4 linked regions of the Tribolium castaneum genome follow. The protein of the gene in region 1 binds, or shares a complex with, the protein of each later gene. Links are inferred from orthologs where the notes say so. Each region holds a gene or a part of one and is shown in the gene's direction. Other genes may lie near its edges. The genes, in order: Polr3C, Polr3K, Polr3I and Polr3F.

Evidence for each region.
Region 2: Polr3C (region 1) and Polr3K share a complex: the UniProt entries of both Homo sapiens proteins name them as parts of the RNA polymerase III complex. The link is inferred for Tribolium castaneum from reciprocal best matches to the Homo sapiens genes POLR3C and POLR3K.
Region 3: Polr3C (region 1) and Polr3I share a complex: the UniProt entries of both Homo sapiens proteins name them as parts of the RNA polymerase III complex. The link is inferred for Tribolium castaneum from reciprocal best matches to the Homo sapiens genes POLR3C and CRCP.
Region 4: Polr3C (region 1) and Polr3F share a complex: the UniProt entries of both Homo sapiens proteins name them as parts of the RNA polymerase III complex. The link is inferred for Tribolium castaneum from reciprocal best matches to the Homo sapiens genes POLR3C and POLR3F.

Annotation. Positions count from the first base shown.
Region 1 is NC_087402.1:6,496,397-6,501,235, forward strand, and holds the start of Polr3C (DNA-directed RNA polymerase III subunit RPC3), read left to right. Parts: upstream 1-1,664; 5' UTR 1,665-2,899; coding exon 2,900-3,046; intron 3,047-3,097; coding exon 3,098-3,824; intron 3,825-3,878; coding exon 3,879-4,390; intron 4,391-4,839. UniProt on the Homo sapiens protein: DNA-dependent RNA polymerase catalyzes the transcription of DNA into RNA using the four ribonucleoside triphosphates as substrates.
Region 2 is NC_087403.1:7,844,380-7,847,662, forward strand, and holds Polr3K (DNA-directed RNA polymerase III subunit RPC10), read left to right. Parts: upstream 1-1,646; 5' UTR 1,647-1,731; coding exon 1,732-1,872; intron 1,873-1,923; coding exon 1,924-2,109; 3' UTR 2,110-2,112; downstream 2,113-3,283. Other genes in the region: Tcs1 (threonylcarbamoyl-AMP synthase), read left to right, coding at 2,113-2,814; Plekhm1 (pleckstrin homology domain-containing family M member 1), read left to right, coding at 2,807-3,124. UniProt on the Homo sapiens protein: Core component of RNA polymerase III (Pol III) which synthesizes small non-coding RNAs using the four ribonucleoside triphosphates as substrates. Can mediate Pol I proofreading of the nascent RNA transcript.
Region 3 is NC_087399.1:3,366,564-3,370,196, forward strand, and holds Polr3I (DNA-directed RNA polymerase III subunit RPC9), read left to right. Parts: upstream 1-1,812; 5' UTR 1,813-1,913; coding exon 1,914-1,921; intron 1,922-1,973; coding exon 1,974-2,085; intron 2,086-2,142; coding exon 2,143-2,295; intron 2,296-2,340; coding exon 2,341-2,466; 3' UTR 2,467-2,562; downstream 2,563-3,633. Other genes in the region: ATP synthase mitochondrial F1 complex assembly factor 1, read right to left, coding at 976-1,812; DENR (density-regulated protein homolog), read right to left, coding at 2,564-2,608, 2,665-2,804, 2,854-3,115, 3,162-3,257; cell cycle checkpoint protein RAD17, read left to right, coding at 3,565-3,582. UniProt on the Homo sapiens protein: DNA-dependent RNA polymerase catalyzes the transcription of DNA into RNA using the four ribonucleoside triphosphates as substrates.
Region 4 is NC_087396.1:20,820,722-20,824,389, reverse strand, and holds Polr3F (DNA-directed RNA polymerase III subunit RPC6), read left to right. Parts: upstream 1-1,555; coding exon 1,556-1,725; intron 1,726-1,775; coding exon 1,776-2,511; 3' UTR 2,512-2,527; downstream 2,528-3,668. Other genes in the region: Alg12 (dol-P-Man:Man(7)GlcNAc(2)-PP-Dol alpha-1,6-mannosyltransferase), read right to left, coding at 1-52, 100-232, 275-400; mRpL40 (large ribosomal subunit protein mL40), read right to left, coding at 737-850, 893-1,262, 1,307-1,384, 1,433-1,467; Acf (bromodomain adjacent to zinc finger domain protein 1A), read left to right, coding at 2,898-3,010, 3,146-3,493, 3,550-3,668. UniProt on the Homo sapiens protein: DNA-dependent RNA polymerase catalyzes the transcription of DNA into RNA using the four ribonucleoside triphosphates as substrates.

The DNA of each region.
Region 1 (4,839 bases):
TTTGGGCACGTTTTGCTTATTTTAAAACACTACAACACTCACGTTTCGCATTTTATTTACAAACATTTTTTCTCGAGAATTTTGCGAAAAATAAGATATTACCTACACTTATGACTAATTAGTATTTGCCTGAATAGGGGTCGCTCTTTTCAAAATCAATTATTTGTTCAGTTCTCAGGAATTTATTTTTTTCAAAAACGGAAACAGTAGTTTATCAATTATCAGATATTATGAAATAGGTGTGTTAGAATCAAATATTTATCTGAAATTGCATTCAAACATTTTATCAGCAATTGCCATTGTAAAAGTTTATACACAACTTCATTTCTCGCCGATTATTATACAATTTGTTCGTTTAATTAAAGCAACAGAACATATAATCCGACTATAAAGAAAAAATAATGACTATTTTTCCTTGTTAAACAAATTAATTATGTAACAATACATTAATTTCAAAGGTGTCAGGAGATAAATAAACAAGCCCAGACAGTTTAATCTCCAGTTAATAGACAGATTAATCATTATTATTTAAATTATTATAATTACAGTATGCAAATGTTGGTTTAAAAGTAAATGTAGTCCTTACTTAGGGAACTGGCATTTGATTGTTTAGCCATATTTTTGGGCAAACATTGGTATCAGTTAATTCCAAAAAGATAAGGTTTTTTTTAAGAAAAAGACAGTTTATCGTGATTTGAAGATATTTTTGGTTTGTTAACAACTAGTTCTAATAACTTCAGGTCTAGACAATACAGACGAGGGCGTGATGTCAAGGGGTTGGAGAGCTTAATTACTATTTCCCCTACACGTAACCGGTATGGTTTGAACAACATAATTAACTTGTACAGAAAAATGCACCAGAAATTTGAGGAATGAAAATTGTTTAATGACAGACATTAAAGTAATTTATTTTAAATATTACTTAACTTTTCAACTCATTAAAGTGTCTTTATCAAGCAATAACTCACCGAGGACACTTTTATATCTTTATGGTTTTTAGAAATGCAGGACTATAAATTTAATTAAAACCACTCGCCAGGCATTAGACTTCTAGGTAAATAATTTAAGTAGAGAAAATCCCACTTACCCCTCGTACAGGTAGACGACACTTTAGACCGACTCTAGTTATTTCATTATTTTTTGCTCGTAAAATAAAATTCACTGTGACTTTAATTCATTAGATGCTGTCACTGTCACATGAAACGTCGAAATTTTAAAATTTCTGACAGGATCTAGACGGCGAGACGAGAAAATTTAGAACATCACAATCCACCGGCGACTAGACACGCTGTGTGAGCGATGTTCAGTTGTTTCTACAGCACGCTTTCGCTATCGAATACACGGGAGGATAAAGCACAAAAAGAGAGTGGGAGTAGGTAAGCTTTTCCATAGGCTGCTGCAGCTTCCGAGGCGATCGATGATATTTTCTTCAGGCGACTTATGCTTCAATAAACATTTAAATTAAGTTTGGGGGCGGCGCAGATCATATCAGAATGCCATTGTCATCAAGTGGCCTACGACGATCGAATTAAATTGGCAACATTGGGCTCTTCAATTTCGTGTCAACGTTGCCAACTTAATTTCAAGTCTTAGGCTACTTTGGGTAAAATATTCAGGTTTAGGAGCCACCACAGTTTCATATTTTTTTAATGAGTTAAAATATGTTAAATCTTCTTTTGTGGTGGGTTTTGAGAATCACTGCCGGTTTATTCATGGCATGAAGGAATTCGGTTTAAATCGACCGGTATCATTTGTCATGCGTGCAGTTTTTGTTACCAAGCCGTCTAGCTCCCCTTCCTGTCACATCTACTTAGGCAATAATTTATGGACCTGCTGTATATGACTGGGTTAAAAAACTTGATATTAAATTTTTTTCTGGATTATTTTACGTGACTTGCTACTTTTATATTGATTTACTAATTGAATTGATGTCATTTGTTTATGACTTTTTTGTAGTAACGATTTGAGGGTGTGGCGGAGCCAACATTTTGTGCAATTATTCACATGTGTGACCTTAAATTTGTTTATTCAAATTTTATTTACTTTATTTTTTAATAAGCGGATTTGTGTTTTGAGTAGTCGTGATTTAAGCCACCTACAAGTCCACGTGTTTTTTTTAATAAAGTAGTAAAGTCGAGTTGCAAGTACAATTTATAAGTAAACCATCATCGGAGTTGCACAATGGTAAAGTCAAAACGACATAAATTATATGAATAATTTGTAATTAATTGAATTATGAACAATCTCATAAATATGGATTCGTAAACCCACAAGCCGACGACGCATCTGTTTCTATAAATCGCACCTCATCATCACCTTCTGCTTATAAATTTTTAATAAACTTATTTGTAAACAATTTAAAAATTGCATATGGAGGTTACACCTTCTTAGCGCCTATGCCTAATGAATTTTTCACGAGACTCAATTACAAAATTATTATTGAAAAATTTCAAAACTGAATTGAAGGCCCGATGCCTGTATGTAATTAGGATTATTTATTGCCAATAATTTACATCAGTTAATGGACTTGTGGCAGGTTTTTTAACAATAAATCAATTCGATTGCCGATTTAAAAATGTATTTAGGCAAGCGTTTGCATATTTAACAATAAAAAAAGTTTATTATTCAGGATTCAAAAACTGCTTATGCAACCAAATATATAACAAGTGTATGGCCTAGACGAAGCAAATGAAACTTTTAATTCCAACTTAAAGTAATTCGAATTAGGTTGCTTTGCACTAAGAAACAATAAATTAGTTCCTAATTAAATTAAATTAAAACCCACGGACCACTGATTATTTTCCCGGTAACAAAGAAACCTGTATTTCTACATTTTGACAAGCAGCCTAACCTAATTTTTTCTAAGTAATCACATTGCAATATTTTTTATTTGATCCCGATGTCGATTCAATACGGAAGGGTAGTTTCCCTTATTTTACTCGAACGTTTCGGCCCCGTGGTCGAGAAGGTGGGCACTTACTTGTTTCAGTACGGAACTGTGCCCCTTCTGTACATCAAAAAGCACACAGATTTGCCCATATCTAAGGTATTTTAAATGAAACTGTGCACTTTTTGCCCCTTATTTTATTAATTGTAGGTCAAGGAAGCTTTATGTATTTTAATAAAGTACAGATTGGTCACGTTCACCCCCAATCGCAATGAAAACGTTGCAAATTATACACTGCAACATGAGCGTGTTTTATTAATGTTGCGCTACGCCAAATACATTAATTTAATTAAAAAGAAATTTGGGACTGAGTGTGAATTAATTATGGAAGAATTGCTACAGCGGAGCTACTGGACGGCGTCTGAATTAATCCTGAAAGTGATTGAGAGACTGAAAAAAGATCATAACAAAAACGTGACAATTTTAGCTTTAAGAGAAAAATTTTTTTCATTGTTGGCCGCGCAATATTTGATACGGTTGCCGTATAGTATGGAAGATAAACCTGTTCCTAGTTTAGTGATAAAAGAGACGGAACAGTTTGCACCTCCGACAATTGATTTTAAACAAATTGCCTTAGTTCAGAGCAATAAAGCACCAGTGGATTCTCTCCCTGACCAGGGCGTTTACTGGACTGTTAACTTCGATAGGTTTCATCAAGACATGAGAGACAAATTAATTGTGAATGCTTTTATTAAAAAGTTTGACGAAAACGCGGGTGAATTTGTCAGACTTTTGCTACAACAAATGTACATTAGGACACAGCCTTGGGCTGAGGTCTCGAATCCAGTCCCTATTGTTGAAATTCGGGACCTTGTAAGGAAACAAGCCACTCATCAACACCTTTTGGCGTTTTTTGACCAATACGTTAATGTCTTGGGTTAGTCATTAGTCGTTAGTCAAAGTTGTTGCCAGTCCAAATATTTTTTTTTAGAGCAAGACAGTTCTAAATTAATTAGACAGTCGGGAGAGGCAGGTGGCGGTTCTTTTCAAATTTTTCTGAAAGAGACGTTCACTCAATTTGCATGGGAGACTGTGGAACAGATAGTTTTGGAAAAATTCGATACTAAAGCCGCCCGGATTTTCCGTCTTGTTAAGTCGAAACAATACATAGAACCGGATCAGATTCAACAACTGGCAATGATTCCGGCTAAAGAAGCAAAACGGCTCTCTTATCAGCTCCTGGAAGAGAATTTTTTGCAAGTCCAGGATTTGAAAAAATCGACCAGTAATGGTCCTAATAAAAGCTTCACTTTGTTTTATACAAACTTGGACCAAATCGTGCGAATGACTCTAGAATTGTGTTATAAAACTTTATTTAATATTATGACTAGAAAAAATCACGAAAGGTTGGTTCATAAGAGAATTATCGATAAGAAACAACGTGTTGACACGATTATTATGGGGATGAGGGCACAGGGGGCGGCAGACGAGCAATTATCTGACGTAAGTTTTTCTTATTTTTATATTTTGGCCGTGGTTAGCCGTCTGCACATTTGTCCGAACAATATTATTGCGGATAAATAACCGACAAAATATCTGTCCGCACATGTCTGTATAGGAGCTCACATTGTTAAATTTATATAATCTTTAGTAATATTATTTTAAGTACTCTTTCAATTGATTATTTTTTGACGATTATGAAAGCCAGAAAATCATTCATTTTCATATGGTTTACTTAACATCTGCTACCAGTAATTTTTTGGAATAAATTAAATGCTGGGTGAAAATAGTAATTGTTAGGTAAAAAATAAATATAAACGCTGTGTGAAAACATAAGTTCAACTGAAGATAATTTATAGTATTTAAGAAAAAAAAATCAATTTTTTTTATTAATTAGAAGAGGGGCTACTACTTTTTATTTTTTAGAGAGGTTTTTAATCAAATTTTTACAT
Region 2 (3,283 bases), on another chromosome or scaffold:
GACAAAGGAAAGGGCCATCGGGACCCGGGCCCGTGTTCCACGAATCCGAGGCTCAGTACGGCACTGTAGGAAATGTGCACTGTGTGAGTTAGAATATGATCATTGATCAATGATCAAACATCAAAAAGGAACGACTGTATTGAGTATTTCAACTGTAATAAGAAATCTTCTACATATCGCTTCTGTAGTGTCAAAAATTAGTTTTTGTATTTTTTTTAAATGAGGCTTATTTCTCCCTGAATTATCAATACAAGGATGGATTAATTCGTGGTCTCTTATAGAGAGCAATTTTTTTGAAGAGTTACCGGAATCGACCCATAAGGATGGGATAAAGACTTCGGAACACCGATTGACCAAGTGCACATAACTAGAAGGAGGTTATAGTGAAAAGTAAAGCAAAAAATGTTTGGCCAAATTATTATTTTCTATGTGAGGCCACGACTTAATCATCCCACCCTCGTAGAATAGAATAATAGAAGGGCAAAGAAAATTTAAATGTACTCATGTTGGTAAATTATTATTAATGAAGTTTATAAAGGATCAAAAATACATAACAAACGAAGAAAAACAAAATATAAATAATATAAAAAATATAAATATAATATAAAAATAAATTGCCGTAGTAGGGTGCTATTTGAAAAAAAAATCGAAAACTAAAAGGAATTAAAAAAATATTTTTAAAGTAGTTGATAATGTAATAATTAGTTTTTCTTAAAGTACATAGTTTAGGCACATAACAATTAGCTTCATACTTTTGCCAAACGATGTATGTTATTTTGTAGGTATTTCCCCTAACATAATTCATAAAGCTTAATTTCCTTTCTCGTTTGTTATTAAATTTTGCTAAAAATAAGTCAAAATCCAAGTGGAGTAATAATTATTACTAGATATATTTTTCTTAAAAAAAAAATGCATACTTGATGTTGCATGTCCATCTGATGACCCTCTGTCGCTTCAACTTTAAAAAATAAAAAACATCCATGTTTATGGTGTTTTTGAAATAGCTAAAATGATGTCTATTTCAAAATTTACTTAAGTAATAACAAAGAAAGAAAAAAAAATATTATAAACTTCTCTATTTAAATTTTTATAAAACGTATGACCTGAAATTTGTTTAGGAAGGGCTTCGCCCTGTGGGGCCCTACGCTGGCTACGGCCCTTGTAAATTATCCTAATGATTTTGAACCAATTACCATAGTGTTTATTTTTTTTGTCAGGAAAATTGAAAAAATTATATTGAATTCTCATTTAGCGAGAGAGATAAAAATCAAAACCTTTAAAACGAAATTAACAAAATGAACCAAGTGCTCAATACCACCGAGTTTAGTATAGGCAACCCATAAAACACAACGTTTTTAATTATTTTTCTTTGTAATTCTTATAATTTTTTTATTACTTAGTTAAGTAATGTGGTATAGGAAAATGTTTGAACCATATTATTTTAAATTAAATTAATCATTGTAAAATTGTCCTTGTTTATTTTAATTGAAAATATGTCTTATTTAATTCGACTATATAAAAAGCGGAGCAAATTAGTGAAGTAATTAGTTGACAAAATAACTAAGGCCGTAAGTGGCTGAATATTTGTTATAATTTATAATTTAAATAAAATAGAATACGAATTTTGTGTTGGTGCCCTCGCCCCAGCGCTGCCAACCCACCGTGCGCTGTCATTGTCAATTTTTGACACATGTGAATTCAAGTTGAATTTCATCATAATAATCACGGGTCATGGTTGTGTTTTGTCCTTTCTGTGGAAATTTGCTATTCGCTCAACAGACCTGCGGCCGATTAGGTTTTGCGTGTCGCATCTGCCCCGTGTCATTCCCCATTCGTGGAAAAATCTCGAATCGCACGTACTTCCAAGTGAAGGTAAAACCCAAATAACCCACTATCATTGTTCCAACTCCGTCACGCTTTCAGTCCGTTGATGACGTGCTCGGCGGCGAAGACGCCTGGAAAAACTGCGACGTAACAGCGGAAACGTGTCCAGAATGCAGCCACCCCCACGCCTACTTCCTCCAGGTCCAGACCCGCTCTGCTGACGAGCCCATGACCAACTTCTACCGCTGCTGCAACCCCGAATGCGCCCACAACTGGCGAGAGTAGGCGATGCGTTTTTTCGCCCCCCTTTTCAAAAAACTCTCCCCGAAGCGGGCTTCTATGGCATTGCACGTCCCCATCAGGGACCCACATGCTGAGGCTTTAGCCGTTGATTTGTTAAAGTCGGGCCGCGTGATCGCCCTCCCTACGGACACCGTCTACGGACTTGCCTGTGACGCGACGAACATAACCTCAATTAACAAACTCTATAGCATTAAGGGGCGCAACGAAGCCAAACCTGTGGCGATCTGTCTCGGGGACGTCCCCCAGGTGAAGGCTTGGGCCAAAATCGGGCACTTGCCCCAAGGTTTGCTCGAAAGTCTGCTCCCAGGCCCAGTGACTGTCATTCTGACTAGTGCAAGCACACTTGATAAGTCACTCAGTTTTAACGCTAAAGTGGGGATTCGAATCCCCGATTATCACTTTATTCGGGCTTTGGCCCGCGGTTTGGGACGCCCTTTGGCCCTCACAAGTGCCAATTTAAGCAACGAGCCAAGTTCGTTAACAATCAACGAATTTCAAGACTTGTGGGCTCAGGTTGGTGCAGTTTTTGACGGTGGTAATTTAGGACTTGACGATTCGAGACGACGTGCGTCCACCGTTATTGACTTATCAGAATGCGGTTTGTTCACAATCGTGCGACACGGTATTGCGGTTGATAAAACTGTTGCGATTTTGCACAAGTTCGGGTTAATTAACAAACATGAATAAGTTGTTTAAAAGTGTGCACACGTCGAGTAATAAAGACAATTTAATTAAGAAGTCGATCACGGATCACTTGTCGAATAGTGTGAAAGCGATACAGTATTGCGGAGTTGAAGAAAATGGACTCAATAAAGCTGAGGATGTTACCGAAGCTTCGAACACGCTGTGTATGACGATTGAAGCTATTTTTCTGCACGGTTTGAAGGACTCCTTGAGTAAAAGGTTCAAAAGGGCCATTGCAGATGTTGACGAACGGCCAGAGCCCAGCTTCTGGGCCCCCTTACTTGTCATATCACATCGACAAATCATAGACCAGGTAACAAAGGATTTAGCATTTTTTCCAATTCTCAAAAACTAACGCACATAATTCAGAATTTTGGTACAGTTCCTCATAATTAATAGTTATTTACCGAGTTTGAGTGTAAATCTGACGCTCTGTTGCTGAGTGGATTTTTAAACGTCGAGTGGTCACCGA
Region 3 (3,633 bases), on another chromosome or scaffold:
CCTGGTAATCCCCGGCAGTCGTACCAACCCAATTTTCCCAACACAGTCAATTTCAGGGACGAAGTGGTGCGGCACGGGCGACATCGCCAAGGACTACTACGACCTGGGGGCCGAGCCCACCGTTGATAAGTGCTGCAGAGCGCACGATTTGTGTCCCGTTAAAGTTAGGGCTTTTTCACAAAGATATAACATAACGAATGATTCGTTATACACGAAATCGCATTGTTTGTGCGACGATCAGCTGTATTCGTGTCTCAAGGAAAATCCCTCGCCCACGGCGCACATTATGGGGACCATTTATTTTAATTTAGTGCAAATCCCCTGCTTGGAGGATACGCAGCACGGGAAAGTGTTCAGGAAGCCGAAAGAGAGGTTCTAAGCTCAATCAAGTGCCTAATTTCAATAAATTATTTTAAGTAAAATGGCGTTTTATTTGGATTTGAATTTGGGTGCGTTGGTACGCCTGTCAGAAAATACAGACCCGTAGTTCGTGAACTGTACCACCTTACTGTTATTTTCGATTTTTTAACGTAACTCAAGTTAATATAACGCACTTTTGTGTTGGAAAATAGTGAAATAAGTGATAAAAATTTAAAAAAATCAAGTTATGATAAATTTTGGATTTGGTAGGTTGGTACGTAAATAGTGAAAAGCGGTAATAAAATATAAAAATCGGCAAAATTTCTATCATTTGGGCAATTTCGCACAATCGCATTTTATACAGGACCTTTGAGTTATCATAATATTTGAAATTGGTCCAATTTTCGCCCAACAAAAAATTAGGTTATGTCATATTTTCGCAGTAAAATTCAAGAAAAAACGCTCAATTTCATACTCATAGTGCCATTTGCTATGTTATGATCGACTTTATGTATCAACATTGGGGACAAGAAAATAATTGGGTGAAATAAAACTCAAAAAGTAAGGTTATGTCACTCAAACTTTATTTACAATTAGGAATTAAATAATACATATTTACAAAGACAAAGTCTCGATTTGTTTGATCAAGTCCATGTGTTTGAACTCGTCGGGGCGCTTGGTGAACCGCTCCATCAGTTCCAAGTGTGCTTCTGTGGGCCTTACGTAATACAATTGCAACTGATTTGCGAGACACTGGGCCTCCTTCAAATCAATAACATTCTTGTCGTACTCTCCTCGCATCAAGACGATTTTTTTCTCGTCCTTTAGTTCGGTGTAGTGCGTCATTGTGAGGCACTCGGGGGCGTTCTCCTTGTGCACCTGATAGTACAAAAGGGGGGTAAAGTGGACGCAGTTTCGCTCAAACTGCGACATTATAAACTCGTAACCCTCTTTGCGAGGCAAGGCGAAGAGAAACGTAGGGTATTGGCGCCCCCTTGCCTCCAGTTCGTTGTAATCTTCCACAGGGACAACCGCCGCAATGTAGTTCTTCTGTATGTGGTACTGGTGCCAAATCTCCTTAATTTCCTCCGGGGTTTTATCCTTAATTAAGTCAAGTTTCATGACTTTGTCTAAGGGGGCCTCCGAGGCCTCCACAGAACCGAGCGGTTTTTTCGGGTTTAATAGTTGCGAGAACTTGCCTTCAGTGATCGTTTCGGGCTTCTTTTTCGGGGCTTTGGCCTTCTTGAGTTCGTCCATTCGGGAGAGGAACTCCTGGGGGGAGGTTTTTTGTAGTTTGGCGATTTTGTCCGCGTATTTCTCGTAGTAGGCATTTTTGGAAAGCTCGTCCAAGGCCTTTTCGCACCGCGATTGGGTCGTCATCAGACCTCTTACGAATTTACAGGAGTATTTTGAAAAATATCGCAAAAAAGCTAGGTTAGGAAGCCTGGCCATACTTGTGACAAGTTTAGGGTTTTTTGGATTTGTCACCAATTTGTGGTTCAAAAATTATAAAAATAAAGCAATTTGCACTCTTAATTTTATTATTAAATGCGATGGAAATGTAAGACTAAGTTGCTACGTTTGAGTAACGTATTATTAAGGCGTGTTTTCAGTGTTAATGCAAACAGCGCGACTTTGAGTAATTTCGAGGTTATGAAACACCTACAACGGATTAAGGACAGCCGGAAAAAACACAAGGGGCAATTAGCGACGATTACGTATGAGGTGATTAGATTAAGTGGCCGTAAATGGGCCGACTTTCATTCATCAATTTTTTCGTAGACTTTGCGTTACTTGGAAAATACTCCTTGTGCCCAACAAAGCCCACAGTCAATTACTGAGTGTTTGAAGGACTTGGAGCCGTTTAATTTGAACAAAAATGAGAAATTAATGCTGATTAATTCGCCCCCTACGACGGCTTTAGAGATTCAATTGGTTGGTCTTACGCAAAATTTGACTATTTCTAAGTGTGTTTTCTAGATGATTGAAGAAAGTGAAGAAAGGCTCACGGAAGAACAAGTTGAGCAAATTTTACAGATCGTGCTTCAGCACTTCCCCCACATCCAAAAAAGCCAAGAAAACGAAACAACAGAGGAGCAGGAATAATTTTGTGATTGTATTAGGATAGTAAATAATAAAACACTGGCGTGAAAAACGACATAATGTATTGAGAATAAGTATAAATACACGAATTTATGATAAGTTATCGCTTTTGGTCACCCAAATCCTCAATCAAGTCCTCATCAATCTGCAACAAAAACAAGTGCCCCTATAACTAGTGACTTTTTTCGGTCAGTGTGGTACCTCTGGCCATTTTTCGGGAATCACATCAAACAAATCGTCCTTGACGTCCCCCTGGATCACAATTTCGTCCTCACCTGTGACTGAAGACCCACACGCAAACCTGGTCCCGAAAAATTTCGCCGCAACTTTCAGATCAATATCTACAAAAACGCGTCAAACAAGACACTCAGGGCCCCCTAACCCCCCTACCAAACCCACTAAGCCCCGTAACCACGGTAACCGACTTCTTCTTGCCGCGGGGGGCCCTCGACACACACACCTGCTTCGGCCCGTCCTCCTTCTTCTTCGTCTTGATCATGCCTTTACCCCCACGTTTCTGACGCTTTTTTTCCTCTTCAGCGCCACCTCCCTCGCCCGCCTCGTCCCCGATTTTCACTTTTTCGAACTCATCGGGCAAGTTACGCTCGAGCCATTGTTTGCATTTGTCATACTCGGGGTAATACTCGCAATACTGGGGCAAGAATTAGTTCGGAAGGTCTGAAGGGGCGACAACTAACCTCAATCGGCATCGAACAGTTGCCACAGTAGATCACTTGCAAGGGGTACGTCACCCCCGTTCTGGGGCCCATCTGGAGCTTCTCTTCCACCGACATTATGGCCAAAAAATGAAATTTTTGAGAAACAAACCTAACCCCAAAATAGACACGGTCGTGTAGATCTTGCGTTGGCGACACTGATTCACTAAGCACTGACACTATTTTTTCAAAAAATTTATTATTTTGGGCGATTAATTGAATACGGCTCAAGAAATTGGCCAACCACCAATTTTGTAACCGAAAATTGCGCCCAAATATTTTTTTAAACGTGTTTTAATTGTTTAAAATCGAAATTGGTCACGTTCTGGCACCACTGACTGTCAATCCGAATGTCAACAAGTTTCAAACAATCTCGAATAAAATCATGAAAAAAACGGGAAATGTGTGTATTTGCACAACTAAAAACGGGCAGACAAGGTAACAGAGTGATAAT
Region 4 (3,668 bases), on another chromosome or scaffold:
CGGGACAGGACGTGGAAAGCGGCGATAACGCAGCCCCCCAAAGCAAACCGCACTGTAATAAAAAATCACAATTTTTGTACTATTTTTCAACTTGATTACCGATATATTGCGCCCAAAATTTGTTAATTTCGAACAACTGCAAAAGCGAGACTATGGGGGCCACCAAAATCGAAATGAACAAGGGGCCGATGAACGTCCGCGGCACCACTCCGGGGAACTCCAAATGGTCGTACTAGAAACACAGTTATTTGTGGGCGAGACAAGGGGCGCCTACCTGAGACAGGTTCCACTTGTGGTACAAAATATCGTGCATGGCCTGTAAATTGAAGCTTTCCTCCACTTTGGTAAATGGGCAGTATACCAAATGGGCGGCGGCGATAATTAGCATTATTTGCACCATTTCGGGGGCTAATTTTTATCTACATTCTTGAATTTTGGACGAAAATAGATTCACCTAACCTACAATTTCAAATGAGCTGACGTAAATAAGCTAAATTTATTTTATCTCTTCGGTCCGGAACTGGGATCATTGTGCTGGGTTTGGGGTTTAGGGCGCCTTGAGACAATTTTACCATCAAATTACCAACAATAGGGGCAATTTTTATTATTTTGAAACGGTCGGACACGTAATTTGTTACGTAAACAATAATAAAAAGTGTGAATTTGAAGTGATTTTGAAGTGTGAATAAAACAAATTTTGTCTATTTATTATTATCCTACTTTATTTATTTCCTTTTCATTCCCATTTTTTCGAAACATCGGCATAATCACCGTCCGGGCTTTCGTAATTGTCGATAGCTGGCGTTTCCAAAGGCCCCTCGCTCTTAAAGGGCAATAATCTGAAATCAATCTGGACAAAAAAATATATTTTGCGAAAAAAAGCCCCAGTCACCTGCATTGCTTCCTGATACAACTCCTCCGACTCTTTCCGCAGCTCATCCAAGGCTTTTTGTTGCGCAAAGAAAATCCGGTCCAGCATTTGGACGTCCGTAAGATGCTCATTTTTCCGATAAGTGGCCCATTGTTTGTCCAAAAGTGCTCTTTGTTCCAATTCACTGTCAGAAAGTGCAGGCAAAGACCTCATCCTTGATTTTTTCTCATCTAACAGAGTGAGGGGCACTTCACACTCTTCGATAGGTTTGAACTGGCGCGCGTGCTTCTCCAATCGCCGGATTTGCTTCTCAATTTTCTTCTTCTTGCGGTCTTCTCGTGCTTTAATAACTGCAGGGTCTAGTTTTTTCTTCTTCTTCAAAGGCTCGGCCCTAGATAATTGGTGAATTGGGGGCCTCGTTTCGTTATTACTTACATGAGACATGGTGTTGCCCTAAAATTGAGAAAGACACTCGTTGCAATTCCCCGTCTTGGGCACGACTGGAGGGCTAGCCTAAAAAATGTCACAGTTAGTGCCAATTACTCCAAACTTATACCACACCTATTAAATGTGTTTATCAAAGACCAGGCGCTCATTTCTTGCCTTTTTTCCTAAAAAAAATCGGCAAAAATAGAAATAGGCCAAAATTTTGAGGTTAGAACATAACCTCACATAACCCCAAAAATGAGCCAAGCTACGAGTTCAAACAGCGAAGAGATAAGTAACGAAGACCGTTTACTGGAATTAGCCAAGGCCAAGCCTGAGGGGATTTCAAACGAGAACATAAAACAGGCAATTCCTAATTTACCCCTCGAAGAACTCGCCCTGATAATCAACAAGTGTTTAAAAAATGGGTTCGTGGGCGCAATCACCCCCTAATTCTATTCCTAACCAAAATTTTCAGTTCCTTGGAGTTGTTCAAGACCAAAGACAAGCTCCTCTACAAATACAAAGACTCGTCGAAGAAGCCCGCCATTCGGGGGGCCGACAACGAGGAAAAAGTCGTGTTTAAGATAATCGAAGAGGCTGGCAACAAGGGCATTTGGATTCGAGACATTCGCTTCAAGTCCAACCTCAACATGACGCAACTAAACAAAGTCCTCAAAAGTCTCGAGACGAAAAAAATAATCAAAGCCGTAAAGTCAGTCTCGGCCAGTAAGAAAAAAGTGTACATGTTGTACGACTTGGAGGCCGACAGTTCGGTCACGGGGGGCGCCTGGTACCAGGACCAGGACTTCGAGTCGGAGTTTGTGGACGTTTTGAGCCAACAGTGCTGCCGGTATTTGCGCCAGAAGTGGGAGGATGCGAACAGCATGGGGGGCGGCCCGCTCCTGGCCCGAAACCGGAGCTACGCCACGGCGCAAGACGTCCACAAATTTATTTCCGAGCTGGGGATTAGTAAAATTTCGCTGTCAGTGGACGATATTGAGAGCATTTTGTATACTGTTGTTTTGGATAATAACGCGGAGCGGATTGTGGCCACGAACGGCTCGTTTTTGTACCGAGCGGTCAATAAATTTATGCAAACACCTGGCATTGTGACAACCACTTGTGGGGTTTGCCCCATAGCCAGCAGGTGCGCCGATACCGGTTTTATTAACCCGAAAGTTTGTAATTATTTCACGGAATGGCTCGAATAAAGTGTTTCGCAACAAACTGGTGTTTTTTTTATCCCGTATTAATTAATTAAGGTTATGTTTGTGGGGGAACATAACCACAAAAAAGTGTGGAACATTTTGGTGGTCGCAGGTTTTTTAAATGTCCGTTCTTGGGCACAGCTTTTGGCAGTCACCTGCGCTCCGCGCATGCGCCGGAGCCCCGAAGCCGAAGAGGTTGTCTGTTTGTCATGAATGGTGTGAGAAACGCAATTTTATTGCGGAAATTTTCGGTTAGTTCGCTTTGAATCTCGCCATTTCATGTCAGATTTGGTTGCTAATCCATCAGTGTTGCGTTGTGTGTGTTGTAAATGTGGGAGCAATTCTGATTAGACTTGTTGTGGAGTCGTGAGTTTTCCCTCCAAATTGCGATGCCTCTTTTGAGGAGAAAGCCCTTCGAAAAAGCGCCGGTCCCGGAGGATATCCGCGATGACGAGGAAGTTTTCTACTGTGGGGCCACCAACGAGATTTTCCGGGATTACGAGTGAGTTTTTGCGGCGGGTTATTTGGAACGTGGTTGCTTTCAAACGCTTGACCTAACGGTCCACTGTACCTACGCCATCGACCTCAAATTTAACGCAATCGGAGATCGGAATCGATTCAACGCTTGGCTTTTCAGGGACTTCTCCGAGAGGATGTTCCTGTGCAATTCGATGATTTGGACATGTGCGATGACGGGAAAACCGAATTTAACGTATGCCGAGGCGCTGGAAAGCGAGGAAAACGCGAGGAAAAGCCTCAAAGAGTTCCCAGCTGAGCTCAAAATACCACTCCTGTACTTGGCGAGTCAGACAAAACGGACGTCCTTTGTTGACATGGCCGAAGACGTGTACTTGTTCACCAAAGACAGGTACTTTATCGGCGAAAACGTGGAAACCTCGTTCACGGAAACCAAGTGGAAGGACTCGCACGTGCTACAAGTCATACCGCCCCCAAACAAACAAACCAAATCGCCGACAAAAAACGGGTAAGTCCCCTGATACTAAAACGCCAAATTGCGTCATTTTAATCACAAACCGTTAGAAACACCAATGACAAGCACTGCAACCCCCCGGCGAACCTCTACAAGTACGAGATCGAGCACTTGGACGCCAACGATCACGACATAAGCGAATTTATGATCGTTGACTGCAGTCAAATGC